Linked DNA regions of Oryctolagus cuniculus. The protein of the gene in region 1 purifies or fractionates together with the protein of each later gene. This does not show direct contact. Links are inferred from orthologs where the notes say so. Each region holds a gene or a part of one and is shown on either strand. Other genes may lie near its edges.

Region 1 (7,316 bases):
CCCCAAGGGTTCTTTTTTTTAAAAGTTTGCTTTGATCTCCAAGCCCAGTGGAATAGAGCAATTAAATTCCATTAGCCGGCGCCGTGGCTCAATAGGCTAATCCTCCACCTTGCGGCGCCGGCACACCGGGTTCTAGTCCCGGTTGGGGCGCTGGATTCTGTCCCGGTTGCCCCTCTTCCAGGCCAGCTCTCTGCTATGGCCAGGGAGTGCAGTGGAGGATGGCCCAGGTGCTTGGGCCCTGCACCCCATGGGAGACCAGGAAAAGCACCTGGCTCCTGGCTCCTGCCAGGATCAGCGCGGTGCGCCGGCTGCAGCGGCGGCCATTGGAGGGTGAACCAACGGCAAAGGAAGACCTTTCTCTCTGTCTCTCTCACTGTCCACTCTGCCTGTCAAAAAAAAAAAAATTCCATTTAAATGAAAATACATAATAGAGGGAAAGAGTAGCAGAGAACAAGGTGTTGAGTAGGATCAGAGGCAGGGTGACTTGTTGCACAGAGTCTACAGATCATTAATTTTTAGGCAGATTTGCAAATAAGGATAGCACACGCTCTGTAAATAGCAGCTGTTGCCATCAGCCAAAGGGCAATATTTACACGAATCCTGTGGCAAGGTCTATTGACTAAGCATCACCCTTTGCAGCCAAATTCATATACTTGATAGCACTTTCAGCCATGTCATCTTGAAAAGGAAGGAACACATTATACATACATGGACAGCTGCCAACGTACAAATATGTTCTGTTCCTCCAATCAATTCCTAACTTTTTTTTTTTTTTTGGAACTTGGAACTCATGGTCCTACAGAAAAGGTCTTAGAAAGGGATGTGGATTTTACAGATCTCACAAATGTGCACTTCGCTCACAATGTAAGTGAAATACTGCACACTGGTAATGAGTACTAGAGTGGCACAAAGTACCTACGCAAGCAGCAGCCCAATACACACCAATTAGTTCTTCAGCTTTTGTCCTTTGAAGCCCCAGGCAATGACAGGGAAACTCTAGCTTCCTTAGCTGTAGTTCTGGGAAAAAGACGTCCTCCATTACCGCTGCCTGTCCCTGTCTTGGGTCCTTGCCTGACAAGGGTCCTAGTCAAGCCAGTGGCATGCTACTTTCTATTGCAGCATCCTTGTCTTTCCACCTAAGAACCCTTTATCACTGAGCAGATAGCACAGATGCTGGGGAAAGGGTAGGGTGTCTAACTGAAGTCTCAGGTTCCTCTTTGGAGACACTTCAAATTCCGAATTCTGTAGTCCATTCGTGAATACATCTATACACTTTAATTTAAAAAAATCATATTTCAAATGATCCATTAGGTAACTTAATTCTGTCCCATTTTTTGACTGAAGTCGACGCTTCAAAAACACAAGCCACTTTTATACTAAGACACTCTGTCTCTTGGCTAGTACACATGTATACTTCAGGATAAGAAACATGGGCACTGGGTGGGAAAATCTAAAGTAAATGAGAACATAATGAACATCAAATCAGAACAAAGCTAGCACCACCAGCTTCTCCTTTCCTCTCTCATTAGCACACCCCTTCAGTTACTAGTTTCGTGTTCTCTGCCTCTTTTTCTCTATTCCAAGCCAGTTCTTGGACAGGATCTCAGACTAAGGTGGAAATGACCAATACTAGCTAAAAAAAAAAAAAAAGTCACAAGGTTTTTGCATGTATAGGATTTCAGGCTTTAAAACAAAAATAAATTTAGGGTATAATCTCTAAGAAAAAGGAGCAACTGTTGCTGCCCTGCTATTTGAAGAAATCACACCTCATTTCAGCTTGGTAATTTAAAAAAGCATGCTGAGGAAAATTAATCATGACTTCTTTTCACTTTGGAAAGTATTGGCTTCATTTTTGGAAACTGCAGGCTTTGTGGTGGTTGTTTGGCTTACTGTTTTGTCTTGTCCCTAATGATGGAAAATTAAAGGCTAGCACGTAAACCTAACCTGATCAAAATAAATGGCGAGGAGAAATAAAAGTTATAATACTGGTATTCAAAAATTACATTTGCATATTGTTGCACGCTTTACAAGTATTTTTACATGCACGCTTATGCTCGCTATTGGTGCTCAACTACTATCAAATAATAACGGGGATGCGAACATAACAAGAACCAACAAATCACAGTAATTCAGTTATTAACATTAGGTACCTACCATGTGTTGCCCCAGGTTCTGTGGAGGACCTTGACCTTGTCCCCCAGGAGTTTTAAAATTCAGTGGTGAAGGCAAAATAAGGTCTTTTGCCCACTGGCCTTCTGAGAGGTACGAGTTGAAATGCGTTGAAATACGTAAAACCCACGAGTGAGGTTTTGCCTTGTTAGTGAATGTTTGCAATCAAGATATTCAAAGAGCGCGTCTCTGGCAGAATTTAGGAAGGTGGGAAGAGCACCAGCAATCCAACTCCTTTAGAGACCTGGGAAAGGGCAGTCCCCGGAGGGGTTCCGGGCTTTGCAAACGGGGGAGAAAGCCTTCGGCTTACAGTTATATGCCCAGAAAAAGTTCTTTGTGCAAGAGGGGAGGGCGCCCCGAGGTACAAAGAGCAGATATATGGGAAAGTGGATTCCGTTTGCACACATTTGTGAGGGGAGCTCAAGCTCACTATTGGGGGCCTGTGGCAAAGGAGATTTTTAGAGGGTCGCGGGCTGCGGGTTCCCGCCTCCACCTAGTCCGCGCCTCTAGCTTAGGCAACAGTTGGTTGTGCGGGGCCGGCCCCGGGCTCTGGATGGGGAGGGGGAGTCTCGCGATCGTTGGGGGGGGGGGGTGGGGGAAAGGGGGGAGGGTGACGGGGGGAGGCCATGACGTAGAGTGGGTGGACGGAAGTGGGGCAGGGTTGAGGGTTATTTAAAGAAGGGGGGCCGCGCGAAAGGGTTGGAAGCGGAGTGATTCCCCACCCCTGCTCCATCTAGCTCTTTCCAGTGCAGCCGCCGCCGCCACCGCCGCCGCCGCCGCCCAGGAGCCCTCATCCCCTTCCTCGTCCCCCTCCTCGTTCCCGCTCCAACGCCATGGAGCCGGACACCGCCGCAGTGGCAGCCACCGTGGCAGCGGTTGATGCGAACGCCACAGTCGTGATTGTGGAGGACGAGCAGCCGGGGCCGTCCACCTTTGAGGAGGGAGCGGCCGCCGCGGCCACCGAAGCCACCGCCAGCACAGAGAAGGGCGAGAAGAAGAAGGAGGTAAATAGGAAGGGGGTGTGTGTGTGTGTTTGTGTGGCGGACAAATCCTGTACAAGGTCCCTCTGAGGGGCCCCAAGCCCTGACCTTTGGGCGCCGACAGGTACCGACGGAGCTCGCCAGGGATGGGGGCGGCGGGCTCGTAGGGGGCGGCGGAACCGTCTCGCGTTCGCTCCCCTCCCCCTTTCCTTCTCGCCGCCGGGAGGGCGGGGGCGGGGCTGGCGCGCGGGCGGCCGCGGCGCGGGGTGCCCGTTATCCCAGGGCTTGGGGGGGCTTGGAGCCCCTCGACAACCCCCGATCCCCTCCACCTTCCTGGAACTGGGGTAACGGCTTGGGGGATGGGGCCGTGCGGGAAAAAGCCTCCGCCTCCCCGTCTCCCTTCGCTCGCTCCCTTGCTCGCTCCCTCGCTTACTCGCTCCCTCTCCCCCCCGCTTCCCGTCGGCCTCTGCCTGGGAAATCTGGGCCCTTCAATCCCACACTCGCGCTAACGGGGTTTGGCTGGGGCTTATTTCTGTAATTTGAATTTCAAGGTGTTAGAGGTGGAGGGGTGGAGGATGATAGGGAAGACATTTATTCCTTTGATTGGCAGTGTCGGGCTTTCGGTTGACAGAAAAAAAATCATCCCTTGTTCGTTTGTTCCCCCTCTACTGAGGCGGGGGTGTCACCCCGAGAGAACGAGCTCTCCGCGTGGTACCCCCCCCCCCATCCAAACGCCAAATTGAGGAACCGCGGACGCTGGCTTAGGAAAATTTCCAACGTCTGCGCCCTCACCCTCGTCTGCCCCGCCCCCGATGGTATAGTGTTTCACTCCAGGGCCACCCAGATGGTCCCCCAATCCGGCCCCAAGCCTTCCAAGCTTCCGCCTCCTTGCCCTAGTAGGCGCTGCTCGCTCCTCGCTCTTGGACACATGCAGGTTTTTGTGTGTGTGTGTGTGTGTGTGTGTGATTTCTTAAATTTTTTTTTTAAAACCCAGCGTCGCGAAGATGAGCCGCTACTAACATACGTAAAGGGAGCGATCTCACATATATTAAAGCCAAATCCAGAAAATATGTATTAGTTCTAGAAGGCATACTTCATATGGATTGAACATACAAATAAAACTATGAAATGCTTCAAAAATTGCTATAAAAATAGAATGGGGCATAAGGAGTTTTGATGGTTAATCAAATAGGAGAAACGATCGTTTATGGGTAGATTTTTTTCCCACTTATGAGTAGACATATCGCAATTAAAAACGGTGGGTGATTAAAATTATGCTTTACAGATCTCAAGTGGCTTTGTCTGAATCATTATATGATCCTATACGGCCAAATGAAAAGCTTTTGACGGAAATTAACACCTTTTGCCTTGAGTTAGAAAGTAATTTTAAATCCAGCACTTGCTTAAGTGATATATTTTACAGTTTCAAGGTTAATTAAGCAGAAAGACAATTGTAGTGCTGAGTGAAAGCCATAGAAAACATATGCATTTTAAAATTTATGCAGTACTTGGATCAGCACAGCAATATTCATGATGAAAGCTGGGCTGGTACCAACCATAATATAAGTCAAATGTTGGAAAATTCAGACTTGTGTCTAGGTGCCTTTTATTCGATAGACTGGGCAAGTGTAAGTGCTAACCTATTATTTTTTTTTAGTATGGTTGTATAGGTTGTTGAATTTCCAGATTGTATAATTTTTTTGAATTGCAAAAAACCGGGAGGAAGGGTCAATAGTGAAACCTGTGTAAGCGCTGAGTTGTTGCCTATGTATTCAACTACTGTGTAGCCTCAGCAGAAATCACCCTCATGGTACTTCATTTGTCTGCTTAGGCTAGGGGAATGAAGTACCACTTGGCAGGAATTTCCTGGTTATACGAAGTTTACTACTTTAAGTTTTCCTTAAAAATCTAAATATGTTACATATTTGACTTTTAAAAAAATTTATTTCTTTGAGAGGCAGAGTTAGAAAGAGAGAGAGAGGTCTTCCATCTGCTGGTTCACTCCCCTAATTGGCTGCAATGGCCAGAGCTGGGCCAATCCAAAGCCAGGAGCCAGGAGCCAGGAGCTTCTTCCGGGTCTCCCACGTGGGTGCAGGGCCCTAAGGACTTGGGCCATTTTCTGCTTTCCCAGGCCACAGCAGAGAGCTGGATTGGAAATGGAGCAGGCGGAACTCGAACCAGTGCCCATGTGGGATGCCAGCACCACAGGCAGTGGCTTTACCCACTATGCCACAGCGCCAGCCCATACCTTGACTTTAAGTAATGTACAAAAAAAAAATTAACCTTTCATGAGCATCAGTTTTTGTACTCTGATGGTGATACAAAGCCTATTGAGATCCAGCGGGTTGTTTCCCTTCAGTTAAATAATAACTTTCCAGTTCTTCCAGTATTTTGTTGATTTTTAAAATATGTTTGTCTTGTCCCTCAGTTGCCAAGCTGTTAGCTATCATATTTTTTTAAAAAATGATTTGCTGATTTATTTAAGAGTTTCAGAGAGGGAGGGATCAACCTTTCATCTGCTGGTTCACTCCCCAAATGGTCACAACAGCCAGAGCTGGGCCAGACTGAAGCCAGGAGCCAGGAGCTTCTTCCAGGTCTCCCACATGGGTGCAGGGACTCAAGGACTTGGGCCATCCTCTGCTGCTTTCCTAGGCCATTAGCAGGGAGCTGGATCAGAAGTGGAGCAGCCAGGACTTGAACTGGTGCCCATATGGGATGCTGACATTCCAGGTGTTGGCTTTACCCTCTAGGCCACATCACTTTTTATGCATTATCTTACTTTCATCAGAAAAAAATTTGTTAGTTTATGACAAAGGATATATGTGTGACAAAACCATAAAACCATTGTAAAGTGCAGAAATGGTGCCGCAGCAGGGAGAGGGAAAGGATTACTCCTGAACACCAAGGATAAGGTGTGCTCCTGCAGTGACGTGCACATCTTAGTAGTGGGCGTCTGCTCTTCCTTCTTGCTGGCCTCAGTGGGCTTGCCTTCCTCTAGTAGTGTTTCCCATGTCATTTGTTGTTGCCTTGACTCTCTGTAGTATGGGAAGCCAGATTACAAAACTTGCTAGAATCGTATGTCCACTAAAAGAAAACAGGCTTTTGGGTGAGAACATTTTCTCTTTTTTCATTTTTAAAAATTAATTTATTTGAAAGGCAGAGTTATAGAGAGGGTATTGATGTTCCATCTGCTGGTTCACTCCCCAAATCACCACCGTTTAGGGGCTGAGCCAGGCCAGAGCCAGGAATCTGGAATACCATCTGGGTCTCCCATGTGAGTGGCAGGGACACAAGGAGGTGAGCCATGTTTTGCTGCTTTCCCAGGCATATTAGCAGTATGCTGGATTAGAAGTGAAACAGCTGGGACTTGAACCCAGAACTTGAACCTGGAACTCATGGGATGCCAATGTCACAAGTGGCAGCTTAACCCACTGCTCCATAATGGTGGCCCCACGAGAGCATTTTTGTGAATGAGGTATATGAGATTTAGTGAATTGACTTGCACTTACTTGGTTTAAGTGACAACTAGATAACTTAACATTGTAGAAAATGGAGATTTTAGTTTTGGTAATGAAAATGTCAAGATAAAGGTCATGGTTTTTAAGATGAGATGTTGATGATCTTGTGTTGCATTCTTATGGCATCTAGGCTACTGAATGCTAACATCTGTAAGGAATCATTAAGATGTCTTAGTTATCTTTTTTCTTGTATGAGAAATGTATTTTTGAAAACATAAATGCATATATGTGTGTCAATGGGTATATATGTGTGTATATGTGTGTATATGTGTGTGTGTGTGTATAAATGTGAAGATTTAGAAGACAGGTATTTTAAAATTTGTTGTGGAAGATAGTGCCAATTAAATTACACATAGTTTTTAATAGCACTGCTCAAGAGTAGGAATTTTAATTAGCATATAATTAAATTTTTATGATATCCTACTGCAAGGTAAGGAAAAAAGTAATGCATAAAACGTTTTTCTAAATAAACTAATTTTCTGTAAGTGAAGTTTACTTCCCACAGTATTAAATATATACCTGTGTATATGAGGTCAAGTAATTCTCACTGCTTTGAAATTTGAAAACTTAGACTTTATATAGCCTTTTGAGAAATGATAAAGGTTTAGATTTTGATACTTAATTTTTCTTGTGGCCCTGCAAATGAAAT
Region 2 (7,345 bases), on another chromosome or scaffold:
AGTGTCCAACCTCCTACTACAAGGGTCAATCATGTAGCTTCATTCATGTAGATTCTAGACTACCTTCATGCAGATTCATGTAGATTCTAGACTAGGCTGAAAATGAGTCCAGGAAATTGATCTGAGGCAGTTAAGTCCAAGGGGAATGGTGAGACAAATGTTCAAAGCATTGAGGCAATGTTTGGTCTAGTGGCTAGGACACCCATGGCCCACATCAGAGTATCTGGTTTCAACTGCCAGCCCTGGTTGCTGTCTCCAGCTCCTGGCTAAGGTGCACCCTGGGAGGCAGCAGGCAATGGCTCAAGTAGTCGGGTTCCTGGCACTGACCTTGACTGACTTTCAGGTCCTTGACTTCCGCCAGTGGATAGGAATGCCCTCTCTTTGTCTCTCAAATGTTGGGGGGGGGGGAAGCTAAAATTAAAGATTCAGGGTATCAATTCCAAAGGGTCCGAGACATGAGACCATCTCATGAGACATGAGGTTCTAGCTGGAGCTGAAACCCAGGGCCCTCAGATACAGAGGTACAGCCAGACCCAGTATACTTTAAACCTCAGCTCCTGGGGCTAGGAAAGTCCCAGGCGCTAGGCAAAGAGCAGGGTGGTGAGGAGTGAGCCTGCCAGGGAGGAATCAGGCGAAAACTATGGAGCCTGTTTCAGAGTCAGAGAATGATGTAGGGAGATAGGTGTGAAGTACTGACCAGACGAACACCACGAGACTGCCAGGCAAATCCTGCCGAGGGCTCGAGACCGGGAGACAAACTTCTGGCCACCACCAGGGGGCACCTGCAGGTCCAGGACAGCTTTGTTGATCTCCAGGACCTGGGGAGGAAGGATAAGGACAATGGCGCAGGCTTCCCACGGGGAGTGGTGGGTGTGGGTGGCTGCAGTTAACTAGAGTGACCAGGCTTCTCGCCTTCTGCCTCCCGGTATTGTTAACCTCCGAGGCACTGTGACGACTAGCCTGGCTAGCAGCGCCAGCCCAGAGGCCAGGTAAGCCCGCGCGAGGCTGGTCGGAGGAGACACATGGACAACCAGAAAAAACCAGGAGCGGGGAAGAACAGTCAGAAACACGTGAAGAACAGCAGTCACAGTTGAGGAGAAGATCGAGTGACGGAAGTCCGGGAAGCATCTAAATCGGGATGAATGCCACAGCGGCCAGACGCCCTTCCCACATCTCTCCAGAGTAGCTGTGCTTCACCAACATCCAAAAACGCAGCCTCTACTCCCTGGGAGGATTTAGATGTCCCTTCATTTTTTTTTTTTTAAACAAAGATTAAAACACACGGTAGAATTTGAGGATGCATTTTAAAACATCAAGGAGTTCCAAGTAATGAAAGAACAAACTTTTAAGCGGTTTCTCTGCCTAGAGAGGGAGAGAGATGTTAGGAAACGATGTGAGATCCTTGAATACGCGAACACACTGGTACATTTTCTTTGAGAATTTTTAAATATGTAAATATCTGAGATGATGAAAATGATCAGAATAAAGAGGGGGGGTGGGGGTAGAGGGGAACACGCAGACCACCCCGAAGTCGGGCTCGGCAGCCGCGGGGCTCCTCACGCGCTGGCCACTGTCCACACAGCTCACAGGTAGCAGATGTCTGAGGCAGTCACGGCGTTGTGCCTGTCGCTCAGCGAGCGCGCCTGTGGGGGCAGCCCAGCTGAGGCCCTCCGAGACTAGGGAGCGCCAAAGACCCAAGCAAGTATCTGGGCACTCAAGGTAGTTTTTCTAAACTTCCAGCCGGCGGTTGAGGTGATTTTTTTTTTCCTTCGGGTAAATTCCAACGTCCTGAAGCAGTTAGCATTTCTAAAGCACACACCTGGGCCGGCTGCAGCCGGAGCCCTGCCCTTCAGCCCGACTAGCAGGTCTGCACCCCCCCGCAGACCCCAAACCCTAGCTCTTACTCCCATCCTCTTCCCCGCCCCCAACCCACGTCCTAATACATTGTGCGCGCTCTTCCAGGCCGCGGTCAGTCGCAGGGCTCCAAGCGCGACTTCTTCTGGGAGGTCACACGTGTCCATTCCCTGGGGGCTGGGGGGGGGGGGTTGTCCTCTGCTCGCTTGGCTGCTGATTGGTGCCTCCCCCTACCCCACCCTTCCCGCCGCACTCCAGCCTCCATCCTACTCGGTTCCAGCCTAACCAGCCCCACCACCCTCTTCGTTGGAGCAAAGAGCCACTTTCGAGCGTCTTCAAGCACCGTTCTCGCGTGGAATAAAAGCGCTAAGGCACAGGTGGAAGCCACTTCCATCTCTCTAGACCTCGTATTTCTAGCGTAGACACCCAGTCCCTCTCCTGCGCTCCCTTCAACACCATAATAACTCAACTCCCACACGTGCACGTTTTCTGGATCTAGCCCCTGTCGAAAGCACCACCCAGCGGGCCCTTTAAAAAGGACGCGACCACTAAGGCCAGGTGGGGGGGGCAGAAGAGACCCTTATTGTCCTCCCTCGCAAGTCATTAAACTCCGCCGTGCCCAACACCTGAGAAGCGAAGTGCGGTTCTCAGCAGTTTTGGGGGGACGCACCCTGCTCCCCTCAAGGCACACCACTCCTCTCCCTCGGGGGCCCGATTCCCCGCCCCTCCCCCTCCGGCTCCAATGCAGCTGTCCCGGCTGGGGGTGGGGAGCGGGGGCGGGGGTTGTTGTTGTGGTGAGCGGCAGCCCCGCCCCCTCCTCGTGGGCGGCCCCTCCCCCCCGGCCCTCTGTTCGGCCCCGGCCCCCGCCCCCAGCCCCATCTGTTTTCCCCGGCCGAGAGTCGATTATATTGTATGGGACGGGGGGCGGCCGCAGCCGCAGCCGCAGGATGGGGCGAGCGCGCGGACCGGGTCGGCTGCCGGAGCCGCAGCCGCCTCAGTAACTCGGGCCCCCGCCCCGCCGCCCCGCCGCCCCCGCCCGCCCTCGGCCCATGCTCACGCCGAGCAGCGGCCGCCGCGGGAGTAGCAGCCGCCGCCGCCGCCGCGCCGCGCCGCCGCCGCCCCCGCCAGAGGAGCTGAGGCGCTGAGGCGCTGAGGCGCTGCGCCGCGGCGGGAGTCCGAGGCGAGCGAGCTGCGCGCCGGCAGCGTGGGGGCCGCCGAGGCGCGCGTCGAGCTCGGGGTCGCCGCCACCGCCGCCGCGGCCGGGAGATGTGCCCAGAGGAGGGCGGCGCGGCCGGGCTGGGCGAGCTCCGCTCCTGGTGGGAAGTCCCGGCCATCGCGCACTTCTGCTCGCTCTTTCGCACCGCGTTCCGCCTGCCGGACTTCGAGATCGAGGTGAGCGGCGGCCGCGCGGGGCGGGCGAGCGAGGCGGCGCACGCCGCTCCCCTTTCTCCCTGTGTCCTCTCGGGGCGCCCGGGGCAGGAGGGTGCTGGGGCCGGAGCGACTTTGGCCGGGAGTCCGAAGCCGGGAGGAGGACGCGGAGGTGCGGGCGCGCGGGGTGGAAGGGCAGGCGGCGGGCGGGGCCGCTCGGGCTCTGCGCCGGGCGCTGGGCGCCGGGCTCGGGACGTTCGTTCGGGCGGCCACACTGCCGAGCCGCGGCTCCTGGCAGGGGCGAGGCGGGCGGCCAGCGCGAGGGAGGCGGCCGAGGGAGCGCTTTTGTAGGAGCGGGACCGGGCGGTTCTCCCGGGACTTCTCGGAAGGCGGCTGGTGGGGAGCGAGCGCGCGCTCCCTTGCCGGGGCCATTGAAGCGCCGAGCCAGCTGCCCCGGGCGGGGACGCGGTGCGGCGGCCGCACGGGGGGCGCCGGCGCTGGGTTTAGGTCGGACCCGGGGCTGGGCGGCGGCCGGGGCCGGTGGGGGAGGGAGAGGGCTCGGCCGGCTCGGCCGGGCGCGTGGAGGGGCAACCGCACTCGAGCGACTCTCGGGGCCGCTCGGGCGAACTTCGGAGCGGCGGAGGTGGGGGCCCGATCTCGGGGGGCGCTCCCCGCGGGGGCGTCTGCAGGGCGCCGAGTCCTCGCCGGCGGCTGCGGAGGGAAACTTTGGGACTCCCGTTATTCTCCGGCAGCCCCCTTTCCCCCTCGCGCCGCTCAGCCCTCTTTATTCCGGCAGCTCGGGAACTCTTTGAGTTGGCCTCGCCACCATTATGCCCCCGGGCGAGCGTGGAGGGAAGGGATGGCTTTTCGGCCGGGCCGAAGGTGCTTTCACACTGGGGCTTTGTGATAAGGAACTAAAACTGGAGGGTCCGGGTGGCAGGGATGGTGGCGGGAGTGTGCGGACCGGAAGGCACACGACGGCCACGGCGAGCAGCCAGCTCCGGCAGCATCCTCCTTCCTTTTATTTATTATTTATTATTTTTATTTTTTTGGGAAGGGGGGGCGAAATGGTTGATGGGTTGGTTGGCAGGTTGTGTGTGGTGACTTACCACCTTTTGCCTTTGGACAAAGGTAAATGGGAACTGTGTGCCGGTTTTTGTTTCCAGTTCTGCCAGAGGGTTCGTCCGTGGAGTAATCAAAATTAGGGTCACTCTTTTGGAGGAGCCCATCCATGTTTTTTTGCCTCCCCACCCCCACTTATCTTACTTTCTGCCATTTTCCGGTTGGTTTTCGTTCGTTTGCTCGGAAATTCTCTGCCTCACTTTTATATTGTTAGATTCGGTCGTGTTGTCTTGAAATATCATTTGCTTCTCACAGAAATGAAGTGTGGGAACTTGCCCTTAGAGCGTTAATGAAATCGGTAAAATAAAAAAGATCAAAGGGGTTGGGATGAAGGAGTGAAGAGGAATGTGGACTGATAAAGTAGGGCCACTGGCAGGCTTTGGCGAATGCCAGTTGCTTGAGCTGATTAAAACAAGGCGATTAAATCATAGGCTTCTCCAGTTTTTAGGAAGATGGAATAACTTAGGCAGTGCACCCTACACCACAGCGTTTGCTTTCAAAGTTTGAACGTGATTTTAACAGGCGGAGTGTTTGTAATAAACATTTTCACGAGACAGCAGGTTATAGTGACTAAAGAAGAGAAGCAGACCATGGAAATGAAAAGATTTGGGAATCCTGAAAGTTAAGATGCTTAACAACGACTTTGATGCCCTGCGTTTTCTTTTAGTTGGTGTAAAATCGTGAGTAGCGTGAATATATCCTGCTGCTCAAAATGGTGGCTGCTGTGGGAGGTGTTATTTGTGACAGTGCCATCTTGGGTGCTGGTCAACCTTCCCCCTAGACGTTTTTCTAAGTTGCAGGCTAGTAAAGTTGAGGTGATGGCTGGGATTACAAGTTTAAAATACTGTGGAAAAAAGTCGTCCTTTGAAATCCATATATTCCCATTTTCTTGATGGAAAAGTAGAGGCAACTCATTTTTCCCCCCTTAAGTACGTACGGCATATCTAGCGTATCCTATAAGAAAACAAATCAAAACAAACTTGTCTCCCTTCTCAGAAGTAAAACTGTAGTTTCTAAGTGTTAGGTGGTTTGATTCCTAAAGGAAATGTAAGCTGATTAGAGGTCAGGTTTATCTGAATAACAGAAATGAAAACTCATTGGTGAAGAATTAGGGCTGTTTGAAGTGATTTTCTTTATTTTGATTCTTCGCTTAAAATACTTGCTACTAGAAATGTATGTGAATATTTGGGTTCTATCATGTTCATATTTTAGGAACCCCTCAATTTATTTGGACTTGATCAGTAAATAGATAACAAATAGTACTAAGCCCCCCCCTTCACCCCATAGATCTTGTATAACTTTTCATGTTGGATGTGTTTTGATATGACTAGTGTAAGTTTTCACTTCAGATTGTTGGTATTATCAAAAATTGAAAATTTTAAAATTAACTTTTTCTAGACTTTTAAGAAGTTTTGACTCATTGACAGTTGAGAATTTACTGAAAAAACTTAAAATTTTGATTTTTCTAAATATAAACTTCTTTTTTCTAGGTGACTTTAAAGATTTAACTGTTTTAGAAATAGTTTCTTGGTTAAACTTTATGATGCAGTGAAAGTCCCTTACCAAAAGAAAAAACAGCTCTAATGCTGAGTTGTACCTGATAGACCATGTGCAGAGGCAGGCAGGCTGTACAATCTTAATTTGCTATAACTTTAAGAGCTACAAATTATGAATAGTACCAGATAGAAGTTGGGTATCTGTTATTTTCTGGACAACTAGTTTTTAACAGTGGGAAAAATCTCATTTTACCCTTGACCAGCAGGGTGAACCCATGGATCTATAGAAAATTAGGAAGTAGGATCCTCAAGGACTTGGCAATCTCTCAGATAGGTGAAGGGGCCTGGAGGATTCACGCTGCAGATCTGCAAGAGGTCAAGACATGCCATTCAGAGAACTGGACCCCAGAGCAAGGATATTTTTATTTTTACATGCAAAAAAGTGTTTTTGCTTGGCAAAACAGTCAGTATGCTTGATTTGTTGGCTTTAGGAAATGTGTAAGGATTTGTATGTTGCTGTCTTCCAGTAAGGGCCCCCCACAAATATGAAGGGTCTGTAATCATCATGCGTATATGGTTATAATGCTTGAAGTTACTCAATTTCTGGTTTTAAAATGAATACATACACATTATGTCAAAGAAGATTACAGGAAAATATATATAAGAATTAAAGTCACCCATAAGCACCACTTCAGGGTAAAAGTTGTTAACATTGTATCCTGCCACTCAGGGATAAAAGCTGTTAATATATTTCAAAATTACCAGATATGCTCACAATGTATTTGTGCCATAGGTTATTTTTCAGATGAGGAGATTGAAGTATAGCTAAACAATATTCACTACTCAGTACTTAGCATCATTAAGCACCTATTGTGTGCTTATCAAATTCACAGTTGGCTTCCTTTACCTCAGAAGATTATCTGTTAATATTTCAGAACCAGCAGTTATACTCTACTTCATTTAAGTCAAGTATTTTATAATTGTTTAATGTTTTAGTTGGTTAGGTTGGCTTAATTTTGGCCAGCTTTGAGGAAACAAAGAATGGTTAATTAACCTCCCCCTAAGATTTACTACTGGGTTTTTCCCTAGCCAGGTTAGGGAAGAATGCTTTTCAGCAATCTGGTTGGGTGTTAATTATGATGGATATAGGACTAGCGAGGGCCTCTAGGTAGCTATTTGGAAATGATCATGTGAAAGTATTTGAATGGTTTGTTTAATAGCAGAATGATCAAAATAATCTATCATTTCCACCATTCCTGCTTCCCACTGCTTGCTCTTTTGCTTTCCTTGTGTCTCTTTCCTGTTGTGGTAAGTCTCTTACCTGATCACATGATCGTCAGGGGGCAGTGCTCAGATTCTGGAATTCTGCTGTTGGTACTTCCTTGGATCCAGTCTCTTACTCAGGAGCATCAAGGCATGTATTTAGTTAAAAATCAAAAGAGGTAGTCCACATCATTGTGAGAAATTTATATGTACATCCATCATATTAGCAAATCTTGAACCTG
Region 3 (7,128 bases), on another chromosome or scaffold:
AAGTCTAGCTCTCTGCTTGTGGCCTGGGAAAGATGGGAAGATGGCCCAAGTGTCTGAGCCCTGCAACCACATGGGAGACTCGGAAGAAGCTCCTGGCTTCAGACTGGCCCAGCTCCTGCCATTGTGGCCATTTGGGGAGTGAATCACAGGATGAAAGACACACCCCCAGCTCCCGCTTTCCGTCTATATTACACGTTTCTTAGTTTTGACAAAGGCACCATGGTTTATGCAGTACGTGAACACAGGGAAAGTTGAGTGAAGAGTATGAGATTCCTGCAATTCTGTGAAACTTTTCTGTAAGACTGTTCCAAAGTTTGTTTGTTAAAATAAAACAGAAGCACAGCTGAAGGCCACCGGGACCCCAACAGGATCCCCATTCTTGTACATTGGTGCGATCTTGGGCAGGTCCCCTCGCTCCAAAGAGCCTTTCACCCGTCAGTGAGAGGTCTGGGGAGTGAACCAGCAGATACAAGACCTGGCTCTCTGCAACTCTGCCTCTCACATAAATCAATCAATCTAAAAACAAAAAACCAAAAACCTGTAGTTTTAAGCCAAATATTTCTAAGGAAAAAAATTTTTTTTTTTGGTGTAAGATTGGTGAGGAGGGGCAGGATGGATGGAGTTATAATGCAGTTCTTTTGGGATTCACTCCTGACAGGTGCAGTCTTATGATGGAGTAGCAGAATAGATGGAACGAGCTGTCCTTACGCAGGGCTTGTGTAACTGGTTTGTTTGACAGGAAGCAGGGTTGGGGGGAGGACTGTAACGCAGCCATGTTCCAGAAGGTTCACTTGGCTAGTACAGAGGGGAAGCAGAGATGAGGCAGGAAACTCAGCTCAAAGGAAGCCACAGGAGTCCAGATGGGACTTGGCTTAGCCTACAGCGGTGCTCATGGGAATTATGAAAGGATGTTTCTGCTGTGGACAGGGAAAAACCCATTGGATCAACTGACCGTGAAAACCTGCATACAGTTCTTCAAAAAAATATTTATTTGAAAGAGTTAGGGACAGAGAGTGATCTTGCAACCTCTGGCTCACACCCTACATGGCTGCAACAGCCAGGGCTGGGCCAAGCCAAAGCCAGGAGCCAGGAGCTTCTTCCAGGCCTCCCACATTGGTGGCAGGGGCCCAAGCACCTGTGCCATCTACTGCTGCCTTCCTAGGCCATTAGCAGGGAGCTGGATCGGAAGTGGAGCAGCTGTGTCTCAAACCAGGGCCCACATGGGATGCTGGCAAGGCAGGTGGTGGCTCTACCCACGAAGCTACAATGCCAGCCCCGATATGCATGAACTTTTTATGATTTGAAAAGACTGCGTAGGTTAGAGTGCGGTTAGGAGCAGTGTGGTTAAAAGGTAATGAGGGTGACAGCAGGGCTGCTTCCCAGGGTCTAAGAGGTAGTTTTGGCAGGCATTCGGAACAGCGCCAGACGCAGTGGGAGCTCAGGAAGTGGCGTCGCTGGCTTTCTAAGGTGCCAGCCATGATCAGGCTCGCGCCAGCTGAGCAGCAGCACCCTTGCCTGTGAGCGAGCGGCATCTGCTGGCCGCCAGCGGTGATGCAGGCTCCCGTGTTTCCAAGATCTGGCCCGGGGATCACACCCCAGACACTGTATGGGGACTTGATCAGTGGCTCCTCTCCAAAAGCACACGGGGAACACGCAGGCGTCATCTCTTCTAACAAGAACGTTCTTTATTCGTACAAAGCATTACAATCTTCTCAACAGCCATCACTCATTGAACGCCTCCCTGTGTTCATTTAACAAGTTGACAGTGTCAGACTACACTTCCCTACCTGTCAAACCCAAGCGCTCAACCTGCAAACAGAACAGTGCTTGTAGCACTGACCCAAAAGAGAGAAAGGCTCAGAGAGGCCAACAGGGGTGCTTTAGAAGCAGCTCGGGGGCACGGCTGGTGGGCCAGCCATTACATTCCTGAGCGCCATCTGACTGCCCTAAAGGGTTTGTATGACATTCTTTTTAAAAGCCGAGAGATTAGAACTAAGAAAGCAGAAGGACTTGCACTTTGGAATACTAAGCAGACTGTCAAAGTTCCCAGACTGGCAGGACTGAGAGAGAAAGTGGAAATGAGAAGAGCCACAGGAGCGGAGGGAGAGCTGTGCCTAGAGGGGAGACGGTCTGGAACTCTCCGTGAACTGAAGGAGGACGCTCAGGCCCCAGCCCGGGAGGCGGGCTTGGCCTCCAGCAGGTTCTCAAGTGCACATGGCGAAGGCAGTGAGGCGCCTGCTCCGTAAGACCCCGGCGTCCCTGCCTGCCTGCCTGTGGTCTCCACTGTTCAATCCGGAGCGCGTGAGCTCAGAGCGCGGCGCCCGGCCCGGCCCGCCCCAGGCAGGCTGCCTAAGGCACACAGATGAGCTCCAGGGTGAGCGGGTCTAACAGAATCCACTCCCACGGATGTTCCTGCCAAGGGGAGAGACAACAGAACAGATTTCTTTAATCCTCCAGTTCTCTTAGCAGTGTCCTAAAGCCAACCGCCTGACCACTTCACGGGTTTCCACGGCCACATCGTGTGCAAGGAAGCCCAGCTTTCTGGAGCCTCATGGCCTCTGAGACTTGGAACACAGCAGGCAGCAGGGGAATTACGACTCTCTTCAGGGGTAGGAGGACTGGGGGTCAAAACCTACCCAGCCATACATGTAAGCCAACACGAGAGATCACACTGACTAACGGAGCGAGCTGTTCAGTGACGACCGCCCGCTCAAGGAAGCGGCACAGGGCTGTGCCAGGCGGCTGCGCGGCGTCGGGAGCGCCGGTTCGGCTGGCGGCCTGCATCTGCTCCAGCACTCCAGCCCGGGGCAAAGCAGCGCACAAACACGGAGCCCACGGCCACCGCCCGCCTGCCTCCCGCCGCCCACCTGCCTCCCGAGGTCCAGACTCCCGCAGCACTCAGTTGTCAATCTCCTCCTCTTCATTCTGCTCTTCTTCCTCCAGCCTCTCCTCATCTTCATCGTTGTCCTCGTCCCTGCTCTTGTCCGGCTCTTCCGAATCCGCCTTTTTGTCTTTGTCTTTCTTCTTCTGTTCCGAAGCTTCCTTCTTGCCCCTCTGCTCCCGCCTATAGGCTGCAGGAAGAGGGGCGGGGTTAGGAGACAGGGCTGGGGGAGACAAGCGGGGACCGCAGCCGGCAGCATCACTGGACAGCTGGAAAAACCAAGGGACACGAGCAGAAAAGGACCTGGCGAGCAGCACCGAGAGGTCTCGGGTGGTGCCACTGAACTACGTCCGGTCACATCCGGTACTGGCTTTCTGGGCCACTCTTTCACAGTCCCAGGGCCACATCAACAGGTCACCCGTCTTCCATGTGGTTTGGGAAACAGAAGGGTACGGGCAGGCACTGGGGGCAGGGATTAAGGCGCAGCTCGGAACGCACGCATCCCATACCTGTACGGGAGTGCCTGGTTTGAGTCCTGGCTCCGCCACTTTAGAGCCAGCCTCCTGCCGGAACACCTTGGATGGCGCAAATACTTGGGGCCCTGCTCCCCACGTGGAAGACCCAGAGGAAGGGCAGGGGTCCGGCCCGGCCCGGCCCGGCCATAGCTAACCTGGGCATTTGGGGAGTGAACCGGAGGGCGGAAGATCTCGCTGTGTTTAACGATCTCTCTCTCTCTGCCTTCCAAATAAAGTGAAGAAGAAGAGAAGCCACGCGGGGGTCGTTACCTTCCAGGGCCTCCTTCAGCGGGGCGACGAACCTCTGGAACTCCATCTCCTCCATGGCGGACAGCACGTCGCTGGCATTCAGGGTCTTGCGTTTCCCTTTCATCGCGAAGTTGTTGGCACTGAAACAAAGCAAAAAGGGCTCTAAACGGCTGCCCCCTTCCCTCTTTAGGACGCGAAAAGGGGCACCCAGGGGTGGGAAGGGAGAACCCAGGCACATCTTGGCCGTACAGATGTTTGCGTAACCTGCGTAAACCCTGCCCTTGCCCGTACCTAAGTCTGCTGTTCGAACAGACCCGGGAAGACCCGGGAGGGGGGTTTACATGGGTCCCAGACCACAACTGCCAGCAGCGGTTCCCGGTGCCTCCCCCCCACCCTCCAGGCCTTAGACCCAGCCGGACGCCGGCTCGCTCTGTCCTGCTCACCACGATGTGGCGTACAGCACGAAGACGCTGGCGGCGCGTGAGATGGCGCTCCGGGCCTCCTTGGAGATGTTGACACCTTCCGGGAGCTGTGATGACGGCGGGAGTGAGCAAAGCCGCCGGCCCAGGACCTGCTTCCCTTCTGCCCGCTCGTCCGCCCCCGGCCCATCGCCAGCCCGAGCTGCTCACCGCCTCCTTGATGATCCTGGTGATTACGGCGTTGGGCAGGTTTAAGTCCTCGGGCCTCTCTGCCATGGCCGCGGTCGAGGCCTGAGTCTGAGCCTAGGGCCTCCTCCCCAGGTACCTCCAGCGTCCGGACTTCCCGCGCCGCTGCTGTCTGACCCTCCGAGGCTTCCGTTCCGCCTCACGTAGGCCGCACCGTGTCCCACAGTGCCCCGCGCCCCCAGCCTTCCTCCTACGCCAGCCCCGCCTCTCCACCTCAAGACGCTTTGCACCCGAACTTTTTGCGCTCGTAGCGGTTTTGGCTCGCTGGATCTTTCGGTCAGCGCCCACCGTACGCCGCACGTTCTTCCTCAGAAGAGTGTCTCTGCTTCACGCTCCCGCTACGTCCAGAGCTTTCGCCTCGAACTAAGTATGGCCCACGGAGGCTTCCGTCCGAGCCCCATCGTGCTCTGCGCCGTTGCTTGGCGACGGAGCGGCCTCGCGCCTCGCGTGGGAGACGGAGGCGTGGAGCCGAGGCGGCTGGGTGGGGCCCCTCCGGACGAGAGGCGGGGCCTGGTGAGCCATTACCGCCGAGCTCCTCGCCGGGCGGGGCTGCGTTGGGCCCCTGGATTTCGGGAACCCTCGGGGTTTCATCTTTGCCGTGGTCCCGAGGAGCCGGGACCCTGCGAGGCGGAACCGCTCCCTCCCGACAGCCACAGTGTTTTTCCTGTTCCAGAACGCAGCGGGGAATCTTTCTTCAGCCCAGCGCTTGCCGATGTCCATCCATCTTTCCGCCCCTCACGGCGCTGTGCTAATCCTTACCAAGGATAGGTGTTAGCTAGGCTTTTTTGGGGAGTTACCTTTTTTTTCCCTTGAGCTCTTGTTCACAGCGGGATGCGCCTGACCAGACTTAGAGGTTCATTTCGGGCTGGGCAGGAAAGGGCGGGAGCAGCCGCTTTTAAAATACTGCATCGTCCCATTTAAAACAGCCTTGTTAAAATTGCGTTTAGTTTTAGTTCATTACATTGTGTGTCGTACACCTTTCCCAGGCAAAATCATACCCAAGGGTTTCTTCTTCTTCCTCTTCCTCTTCTGTAATTAACAAATCTTTTTTATTTGGGAAGAGAGAGAGGAATCTTACATCAGGTTCAGTCCCCAGATGCTGGCCAATGGGTGGTGAGCCAGGTGGAAGCCAGGAGCCTAGAACTCAATCCAGGTCTCCCACGTGGATGGCCAGGACCCAACTACTTAAGATTTAGATATTTGATATATATATATGTGCATATATATATATATATATAAAAGAGAAAGCGAAGGAGATCTCCCATCTGCTGATTCACTCCTCAAATGGCTGTGCCCAGCTGGGCCAGGATGAAGCCAGGAGCCCCTACGTGGGTGCAGGGGCCCGAGCATTTGAGCCATCCTCAGCTGCTGTCCCAGGTACATTAGCAGGGAGCGGGATCAGAAGTGGAGCAGCCGGCACTGGAACCGGTACCCATATGGGATGCTGGCACTGCAGGTGGCGGCTTTCCCCACGACACTGCGGCTCCTGCAGTGGCACTTCAAGTTGTATTCCTTTCACATTAGGTATGTGGAAATTCTTACTGCCACTGAGAACTAATCCAGTTGTTTTTTTCCCCTTGAAACATGCTGTCTCAAATTTTTCTTGCTTTTGATGGATACATGATTAGAGCGAGATACTTCCCTATTAGAAAAACAGCAGAGCACATGCCATGGTAAAAGGCAACCAAACTTGAGCTAGAGACCAGGACCTCGTGGGGGTCCTACTGTACTTGGCTAGGGCAGACTGGGCGTAGAGATGCCAGGAGCTGGAACGCTTCAGCCAATTGCTGTGTAGTTGGAATTGGGCCCAGTGTTGTCAGATGTTTTGATCTGTAAGAGGAGCCAGAAATCTGGATATTAGGGACTATTTCGATTTTTGGTAGGCTCAAAGTGCCTGCCAAACTAAGCAGGTCAGGTTGGGTACAATCCAAGGCCAATAGTTCGCTGTCTTTGATCTGACAAGGTGTTCAGAACATGGTTTGCTTATCAGTGTTCTCCGTGCCCCAAACGAGCCCTCTCATATCTTTGGTAGTCAATAAACATGTTGGATAAAAGAAAGAAGAAGTGGACACTGTCCTTAAAAAGCATTAGGGATGGAGTGGTAGTGATTGCCTGAAACGTCTGCAGAGGGAAGAAGATTCTGAGCACCCATAATACCAGCAATTCAAGTGTATTATCTTATTTAACGATTCCACAGTTCTGCTTAGGGGTTCACACGCACACACACACACACACACACACACAGCCAGCCGCCTGCCCCAACCACACACGTTACGTGAGGAAACAGGCTAAGATGAAGTCACTTGCCTAAGACCTTATGCTTACAGCCAGTAAATGAAAAAGTAATGACCTCCGAAGCAACTACAAGTCTACTGATTTGCTATTTGAGTGTTCAAACCCATGCATTGCTGGGATTTTGCCTGCATGGGAATCAGCATGGGGGTAAGTCTGCAGAAATGTGGAATTAAAAGATAGGTTTATTTTGGAGCAAAATATTTTCAAACCCATGTGTAGTTTTTTCATAGTTCTCATTTTTCATAAAAACTTTGAAGAATCTCTGCATGGATTTCAAAATGATTTTGCACTAAAGAACGTCTCTTTTAATGCCATTTTTCATGAACATTTTGAAGTACCCTCATACTGGAAAAGGAAGCCTGCCTTCCCAAGGTTTGAGTCATCTAAAGTGATTGTATGACTACATTGGTTTTAATTTAAGGCTTTTGGAGATAATGGCACCTTCTCCCTGATCATTGACTAAGGAGAACTGGAAATGATGCTAATGCTTATTTTAGCCTATATGTCAAGCCTTTAATATTTA
Region 4 (7,396 bases), on another chromosome or scaffold:
AACAGCACTTCCTTCCCCAAGAGGTGCTGGTACATTAAAGAACAGGCCTGAACCGGTCCCCAGGAAGCCCAGAAGTAGTGCACCTCCAGGCGTGTTTAGTTCCATCTTATTGCCACCACTTCCTCAATTCTCAAGCATGGCCTTCGGAGGAACTCTGCAACCGAGACTAAGGAGCACCACGTTTGAGCTTGGCTTACGGAGAGCTGCGCTTCAAAGCAGTCTGGAAGCAAAGTGAGGAAGGCAATCTTCCCCAGGGGACAGAAGTGAGTCGCACTCTCGCGGCTCTCTGTCGTGAGAAGAGTCGATAGAGGTTTGGGAGAGAGACTAGACCTAGAAGTGTCCCGTGCGGATACTCGTCAAACCATCCTCACCACGAAGGAAGCTTTAATAAGCAGGCAGACAAGAAGAGCTGCCTGTGCACGTAGGGCGAGCTCCTTCCCAAGCCAGTGCCTGCCTCTGGAGGTCTTGAACAAAACGGCCCTGCACTGGGACCGAGGTCATCACCAGCTCATCGTGGGCCTCCCTTCTGCAAGACAGACCAGAGCGTTGCCACTAGGGAAGGCCCATTAACAAGGAATCCCTGTAAGAGGCTCTATCCCGTCTATGACCCAGGGCGTCAAGACCGTCGGGCAGAGGCTCATGCAGAATCCGGGTCTGCTTTTTCCACCAGTCATGCTTCTGCTGCCATCATCACCCTACAGGAGTTGACCAAATACCTCCTGCCTCCACCTGGTATCTTACACATCTTTGGACCGGACATCTGCCCAACGAACTGACTTCACACTGAAAGGACTGAGTGTCCTAGGGGCTCTGCTAGCCTCGTTGTGCACCCCCACAACCGGAAGCGGCTGGTTTTATGGAACAGTGGGATGGCTTCTAGAATGTTGGGCTTCTAAGCCAGATGGAAGGCAACAGCTTGAGCACTTAAGATTCCATTTACGCTTGGAACCAGCAATTCTGGATGGGTCCGTATCCTCCTCGTGAGTTCCATTTCTATTTACCTGGACCAGTCAATTTTCCTGTTGCTTGCAACTAAAGACCCTAAGTAATGCACTGTGCCTTCTATTCTAATAGTTGGGGTGGTGATAAATTGGCTTCCTCCACTATTAGTCTGTAAACTTGGAAGGCTGCTCTCATTTCTAATATCCTCGCATTCCTTGTTGCACATAGAACTGTCTTTCACACAATGTAGGATACATGCTGCAAACTTGCAGACTCGGCTCTATCTGAACGGCATGTATTTTGATCCATCTGAAGTTGTTTTTTTTTTTTTTTTTACTTAGTTGCCAACATTTTAAAAAAGATTTATTTATTTGAAAGGCAGAGTTACAGAGAGAAGGAGACACAGGGAAAGGGGGGAAGAGAGAGAGAGAGAGAGAGAGAGAGAGAGAAAGCTGGGGCGGGGGAGGGGAGAGAAAGAAAGATAGCAAGAGATCTTACATTCCATGGTTCACTCCCCAGGTGGCTCTAATGGCCCAGGCTGGGCCAGGTCAAAGCCAGGAGCTTCATCCAGGTCTCCCATGGGAGTGACGGGGGCCCATGTCTGGGCCATGTTCTGCTGCTTTCCCAGGCACATTAGCAGGGAGCTGGAGCGGAAGTGAAGCAGCTGGGATTGGAACCAGCACCGGAGGTATCTTAACCTGCTACAACGTTGCCCCCCCCCAACATTTAAAAGCCATGAGATTTCACAGGAAATCCACATTTCCACACGCTCTTGAAAACATCTGAGGAGCTGGTCATGTTAGGCCTGCATTTCAGTAACCATCCCTTTCAAACAAAACATGGCCACTTTTACTTTTTTTTTTTTTTTTTAATATTTATTTTAAAGAGTTAGAGAGAGAGGGAGAAAGAGATCTTCCACCCACTGGTTCACTCCTCAAATGGCTACAACAGCCAGGGCTCCCTCCCATCAGGGACTCCCAGTGGGTGGCAGGACCACCTGCCCATTCCATTTTCTTTCATTACTTACCTGGGCCCAGTGGGTATGTAAATTTGTCACCTTGGGTGCTCAACTGAATCGTACTGAATGCGTTAATTTGGCAATTAGTGCTTCTATATTAATTTTCATTTCGCATGTGTTTCTTCCTCCTAATTGGGTCGAAACAAGCCATTTGGTGGGCAGAATCCTGCTAACTATTATTTCTCGAAATTACTTCTCGGTCGTCACATACTTGAGTAAGTAGCATTACGTGTGTATAACCTCCAGACCAGGCCTTGCCCCGCCGGGATCGAGCGCCCCCGATTTGGGCTGCCTGGGATATCATCACCACGGTCGCTTGCCTGGGCTAAACTGAGACCAGGTGAACTCGTCAGGTAAAGCTATTAAAATCCTCTCGCAATAATAGAAACATACAAGGCGCCGAGGTCGACCGCAGGTGGGCTGCCGCCTTTTCCAAGTTCCGGCCGCGGGGGTCCGGCTCGCAGCGGGACACGGGGGCAGGTGCCCGCGAGACCCCCGGAGGCCTTCCGGGTGTGGACGCCCCGCCAGGGCCCGGCAGCCCGGGGCGTGGCTCGCGACGGGTCCCCCGGGTCCACTTCAGGACTCTCGGGAGTTGCAGGTTTCTGGGGGGCTCGTTCCCGCCGGCGCCGCGCCCTCAGTGGTGACACTCGGGCACTTTCAGCATCACTTTCCCCACGCGGGCGGGAAGGGGGCGGTATGTCGGGGCTCCCCTGCCCTCCTCTCCGCCACCGGGGAAGGGAGGCGCCGGCGGAGGCCCTGCCGAGGCCGGGCGTCGCGCGGGGGGCTCCCGTCCCCCGGGGCCTTCGGCGGGGGGTACTGGGGAGGGGGCTGCATGCCCCTCTCTCCTGAGCGCCGCCGGCGCCCGCGGTCCCGGAGCGCCGGGCCCGGCTCCCCGCCCCCGACTCGGCGCTCCCGCGCTCCCTCTAGCGGCCGCCGCGCGGCCTCGCTCCGTCCCAGGCTCGTCGGCGGCGCAGCTCACGTGACCGCGCTCCGGGCCTGCGGCCGCTGTCGGTTCCCCCAGTCACCGAGCGAGAGGGAAGAAACAAGATGGCGGCTGAAGGCGATCCGGAGTGGGGCCCCAGCAATTCGGACTGAGCCTTCTCCCTCCACCCGCTTCCGCCGGCCGGGCCCCTCCCGCCCGGCCCCGCCGGCCTCCCCACCCGGCCCCGGCGCCCCCCACCGCCCCCACCCCGCGCCCGCCCCTCCCCCCTCCGCTTTCCCTTCTCCCCCCCGCGCCTCGGCTCCGACATGAGGGGCCGGCGGGGCAGGCCGCCCAAGCAGCCCGCGGCTCCCGCTGCGGAGCGCTGCGCCCCGGCCCCGCCGCCGCCGCCGCCGCCGCCGCCCACGTCCGGACCCATCGGGGGGCTCCGCTCGCGGCACCGCGGCAGCAGCCGGGGCAGGTGGGCCGCCGCCCAGGCTGAGGTGGCGCCCAAGACGCGGCTGAGCTCGCCCCGGGGGGGCAGCAGTAGCCGGAGGAAGCCGCCGCCGCCGCCGGCCCCCCCCAGCACCAGCGCCCCGGGCCGGGGGGGGCGAGGAGGCGGGGGCGGCAGGACGGGGGGCGGGGGCGGCGGCGGCCACCTGGCCCGGACCACCCCGGCCCGGAGGGCGGTCAACAAAGTGGTGTACGATGACCACGAGAGCGAGGAGGAGGAGGAGGAGGAGGACATGGTCTCTGAGGAAGAGGAGGAGGAGGAGGAGGACGGCGACGCCGAGGAGACCCAGGATTCGGAGGACGACGAGGAAGATGAGATGGAGGAGGACGACGATGACTCCGATTATCCGGAGGAGATGGAAGACGACGACGACGACGCCAGTTACTGCACGGAGAGCAGCTTCAGGAGCCATAGCACCTACAGCAGCACTCCAGGTACCCACCCAGCCCGGTGGCTGCAGGCTGCTTCCCCGCCGCCTCCCCCTCCCCCTGCTCACTCCCTCTCGAGTGCCGGGCATCCTGCTCCGGCCTCCCCCCACCCGCCTCCCCCCCCCTCGGACGGAGGGGAAATGCGACGGCACAGCAAGTGGCAAAAAAACTAGATTTACAAGAGGAAAGAGGCGCATTGTTCAAAATGGAGATTGCATTGTTGCAGTTTGCAGGCCACACGCTCGCTCGCCCTCTTTCTCTCCCCCCCAGCCCCCTCTTTTTCCTCTTCAGAATTTGTGCCAGTGCAGTGGCTCCACCGGGCAGGATCGAAACTTTGGCACTCGCCTATCCATTGCATTCATTTTTCTCCCCTTGTTTTGGTGTGGTTTTTTTTTTTTTTTTTTTTTGGAATGAAAGAAGCCTCTTGTTTTGCAAAAACCTCTTTGCATTTCTAATGTGGGCTCTTTGAGATTTTTATTATGTATCCCTTCCTTAAAAGGGAATTAAGGATTGGGACAGATTGTGGCACACAAACACGCACAAAACACGCTTCTCTTCGCACGCCTAGCTGGGCGGCTTACAAAATCGCGTGAAAGAGATGGGTCGGTGGACTGAGTCGGGAAGCCTTATCTGGTCCCGTGTTTGTTTTTATGCTTGGAGGGCTAATGGGCCGGTGCAACAGTTGCTAGTCAATTGCTGATTAAAAAGCAGTGCAGAAAAGCGCAGGAAAGCAGCCTTGGAAATGCACCCGATCTCCCAGAGCACCTTGGTGAGTCCACAGCAGAAGTGCAGAGGGGCAGGCAGGGCCGCCGCCGCCAGCCTGGTCCCTGGGCTGCGCTCGGGCTGAGCCGCCTCGCGTCACCTGTTGCGGAGGCCGTGGAGGTAGCTGATCGGGCAGTCGGCCTTGCCGGAGATGAACTTTTGGGATCGCTTCTCAGTTCCGCGGCAGAACGAGCAGATCTGTTACTCATTTTGTCCTTTTCCGTTTTGTTTCTGAAGAAAAAAGCCCTCCCTGGCGCTGGAGTGAAGGCTGCTCCGAGTGTTTTCAGAAAGTTCCTCTAGGAGATGCATTTGGTTAAGCACACTCGCAGCTGCTGCTTTGTGTGAAATCCGTGGTTGTGGCTCACTAAATTGTGAGGGGAAAAAAGAAGTAACTTGTAGCAGCAATCTGCATGACCTTTATATATTGTTAACCTCCATGAACTAAATTACAATTTGGTGTTAAGAACGTTTACAAAGTAAAGTTTATGAGGAAATGAGTTATTTTTAGAGAGACTAGGGTAGTAGAAGCAGTTAGAAGGAAATGTTTTTTTTTTTAAATAAATGCTTACATATGGGGGAAGTGTGGGTACTAACAGGTGGACGCGCACTTAGATTGCCCTGACATTAAATGAAGAAAGGTAGTTCATTTCTTTGGGCTGACAGGACAGCTGCCTGTCTTGCTCCCAAGAACCGAGCGTCCGGCACGCTTGTCTCCTGTGCAGAAGGAGCTAGATGCAAGTTTTGTCATCTCCTGTGGCAGTAGTTGTCACTGAGCAGTCGCAGGTTCATCCCCTGTGTGGAATCATGGAGACTGACTGACTGCCACCACTGCAGGAAGTTTCCCGGTTAGAGCTAAGGCTGGCAGGCAGGCGGCTCCGCTAACTTTCACTCCCATCTGAGGGCCCAGCAAATCATGCTAGGGGGGTTGATGGCTGTGCTGAGTTGAAGTACAGTTTGTGGTGAGGCTTCCTGTTTTTTTTTTTTTTTTTTTTTTTTTTAGTACTTGAATATTTGTGATACTTCCTTGACATTTTGTTTTTCTTAGCGACGCTGGTAGCCTAATTTGTGTATGCTTGTCCCATCCATATATAAAATTAACTCCTTAGTGGTAGGTATTGATGTTATACTCCCTGAGCTCTAAACCAGTGTTTGGCATGTAGCAGGTGCTCATCAAAGATTGATTGGATACGCAATTATTTGCTAGGTGAGAACTTGCAGTAGATGAAGTTTTGGTCATTCTGTAATTGGCAGGCGTAACTCCTAGACATTTTGGACTTGGGGAACTAAAAGTTGGTCTGATGAGATTCTGATGCTCGCTTTGAGTAGTTCATGTCCAGTCATGGAGTTACTGTTCCCAGTGCTGTTTCGCCTTGCTTCCCAGGTATTTTCCTTCCTTTACCCGATGTGGTATTAACTGGGATGTGTTGCCTTTGGGTACACATTACTTCTCAGGATTATGGTAAAAATAGATGCTCCATTGTGGGACCTAAACTTTGAGAATATGTCCGCTTGCCTAGTGAGTGGCACTGCTTGCTGACAGTGAGTTGTCAGGTGCTGGTTTCAGTAGTTTTGTTGTCTGGACTTCCCAGGAGGGAGGCTGTCAGGTCAATGTGTATATGCATTGGAAAAAAAGAAAACTTTTAGGACTGGTTTAAGACATCCCATGTACACATGAGAAAATGTGGTTGGTGTATTTGAATCCTGTTGTACTGTTAAGGCTAAATGAGGCATATACTTTATTGGTAATTTAGAATATTTGATTAATTTTTAGTTTAGAATGTTGGCTTAGCTGCTAACATTAAATCCCTGATGTAGGCAATAATCTCTTCATCTGTTGAGTACTACGTAGGTAATTCCAGAGGTCTTCAAAAAGTTCATGGAAAATATCTCTAATGAAACCATTTTGGCTTTCAAGATTGTTTTGTGCCTAAATAATTTGTCTTTTAATTCCATTTTCCATGGAGTTTTTGAAGTATCCTTATACAACTGTTGATATAGTCATAGATTTAAAAATGTTTATTCATTGGAGAATATTTTTTTCTTATAGAGAAAAATTTTAAAATAGGGATAACAACTTATTACTAATGCCAAATTGAAATCATTAGGTTTGCTAATGCTGGAGGCATTTGGCTGAATAGAGCTTTGATTTATCTGAATTTTTTAAATGGAGAATTCTTCCAGCTTACAGGTTTTATGACAGACTTTTGTCAGTGCACTGCAAAGGATTTGTATTGGAAATCTGGTCCGAATACACAGCTGAGAGAGTTCTGACCACTCTTTGAAGTTAAGCATTTGCTTATTTTAAGAAATTAAGTTATGCTTGAACAGAGTGGTTCTTGCATTTAATTTGTGTGACTTCTGAGAATACTTACCTGGAATTTTGAAATTTGGAACCTCTGATGATTTCAGAAAGCAAAACTTCTGGTGGTATCCTGGGAGAGTGAGTGATTATGTCCTCTAAGGAAGATGACTGTTGGAGTCTGGCCATGAATGGATCTGTAGATCACCCGATTAAGCATTTGTTAAGGGTTTGGCAAGTCTCATTTCCACCAGTGTCAAACACCTTTTCAGAATGAGTGCGATTCCTGATTGCTACAGGTTAGGTACAAAGTGCTGGGGGAGACTGCAAGGCAAGGCAAGGCAAGATCAGACCCTGTTGAGATGTGTGTGGGCGTGAGCCTGTGTGCTTCCTGCAGGGGCCTTGGATTGTGGGGCCGGTAGAGGGAGGGCGGCAGAGGGAGAAGTGTGGGCAGTTGCAAGTAATGAGTTTTGCTGGAGCCTGAGGATGTGAGTAGGAAACAAACTAAAGCTCT

The links. Proteins that work in one complex are often made in the same cells at the same time.
Region 2: the proteins of SMARCA1 (region 1) and CECR2 purify together in Homo sapiens (affinity purification with mass spectrometry; 3 studies listed by BioGRID and IntAct, with this or other methods). This does not show direct contact. The link is inferred for Oryctolagus cuniculus from reciprocal best matches to the Homo sapiens genes SMARCA1 and CECR2.
Region 3: the proteins of SMARCA1 (region 1) and POLE3 purify together in Homo sapiens (affinity purification with mass spectrometry; 3 studies listed by BioGRID and IntAct, with this or other methods). This does not show direct contact. The link is inferred for Oryctolagus cuniculus from reciprocal best matches to the Homo sapiens genes SMARCA1 and POLE3.
Region 4: the proteins of SMARCA1 (region 1) and BPTF purify together in Homo sapiens (affinity purification with mass spectrometry; 4 studies listed by BioGRID and IntAct, with this or other methods). This does not show direct contact. The link is inferred for Oryctolagus cuniculus from reciprocal best matches to the Homo sapiens genes SMARCA1 and BPTF.

Annotation. Positions count from the first base shown.
Region 1 is NC_091453.1:107,217,295-107,224,610, reverse strand, and holds the start of SMARCA1 (probable global transcription activator SNF2L1), read left to right. Parts: upstream 1-2,803; 5' UTR 2,804-3,002; coding exon 3,003-3,173; intron 3,174-3,376; exon of another isoform or gene 3,377-3,493; intron 3,494-7,316.
Region 2 is NC_091440.1:97,509,396-97,516,740, reverse strand, and holds the start of CECR2 (chromatin remodeling regulator CECR2), read left to right. Parts: upstream 1-2,930; 5' UTR 2,931-3,120; coding exon 3,121-3,246; exon of another isoform or gene 3,247-3,394; intron 3,395-3,884; exon of another isoform or gene 3,885-4,104; intron 4,105-7,345. UniProt on the Homo sapiens protein: Regulatory subunit of the ATP-dependent CERF-1 and CERF-5 ISWI chromatin remodeling complexes, which form ordered nucleosome arrays on chromatin and facilitate access to DNA during DNA-templated processes such as DNA replication, transcription, and repair.
Region 3 is NC_091432.1:216,996,958-217,004,085, forward strand, and holds POLE3 (DNA polymerase epsilon subunit 3), read right to left. Parts: upstream 4,416-7,128; 5' UTR 4,341-4,415; coding exon 4,275-4,340; intron 4,175-4,274; coding exon 4,089-4,174; intron 3,786-4,088; coding exon 3,667-3,785; intron 3,072-3,666; coding exon 2,899-3,071; 3' UTR 2,868-2,898; exon of another isoform or gene 2,413-2,867; 3' UTR 1,664-2,412; downstream 1-1,663. Other genes in the region: C1H9orf43 (uncharacterized protein C9orf43 homolog), read left to right, coding at 5,752-5,834. UniProt on the Homo sapiens protein: Accessory component of the DNA polymerase epsilon complex. Participates in DNA repair and in chromosomal DNA replication.
Region 4 is NC_091448.1:13,812,040-13,819,435, forward strand, and holds the start of BPTF (nucleosome-remodeling factor subunit BPTF), read left to right. Parts: upstream 1-2,981; 5' UTR 2,982-3,208; coding exon 3,209-3,827; intron 3,828-7,396. UniProt on the Homo sapiens protein: Regulatory subunit of the ATP-dependent NURF-1 and NURF-5 ISWI chromatin remodeling complexes, which form ordered nucleosome arrays on chromatin and facilitate access to DNA during DNA-templated processes such as DNA replication, transcription, and repair.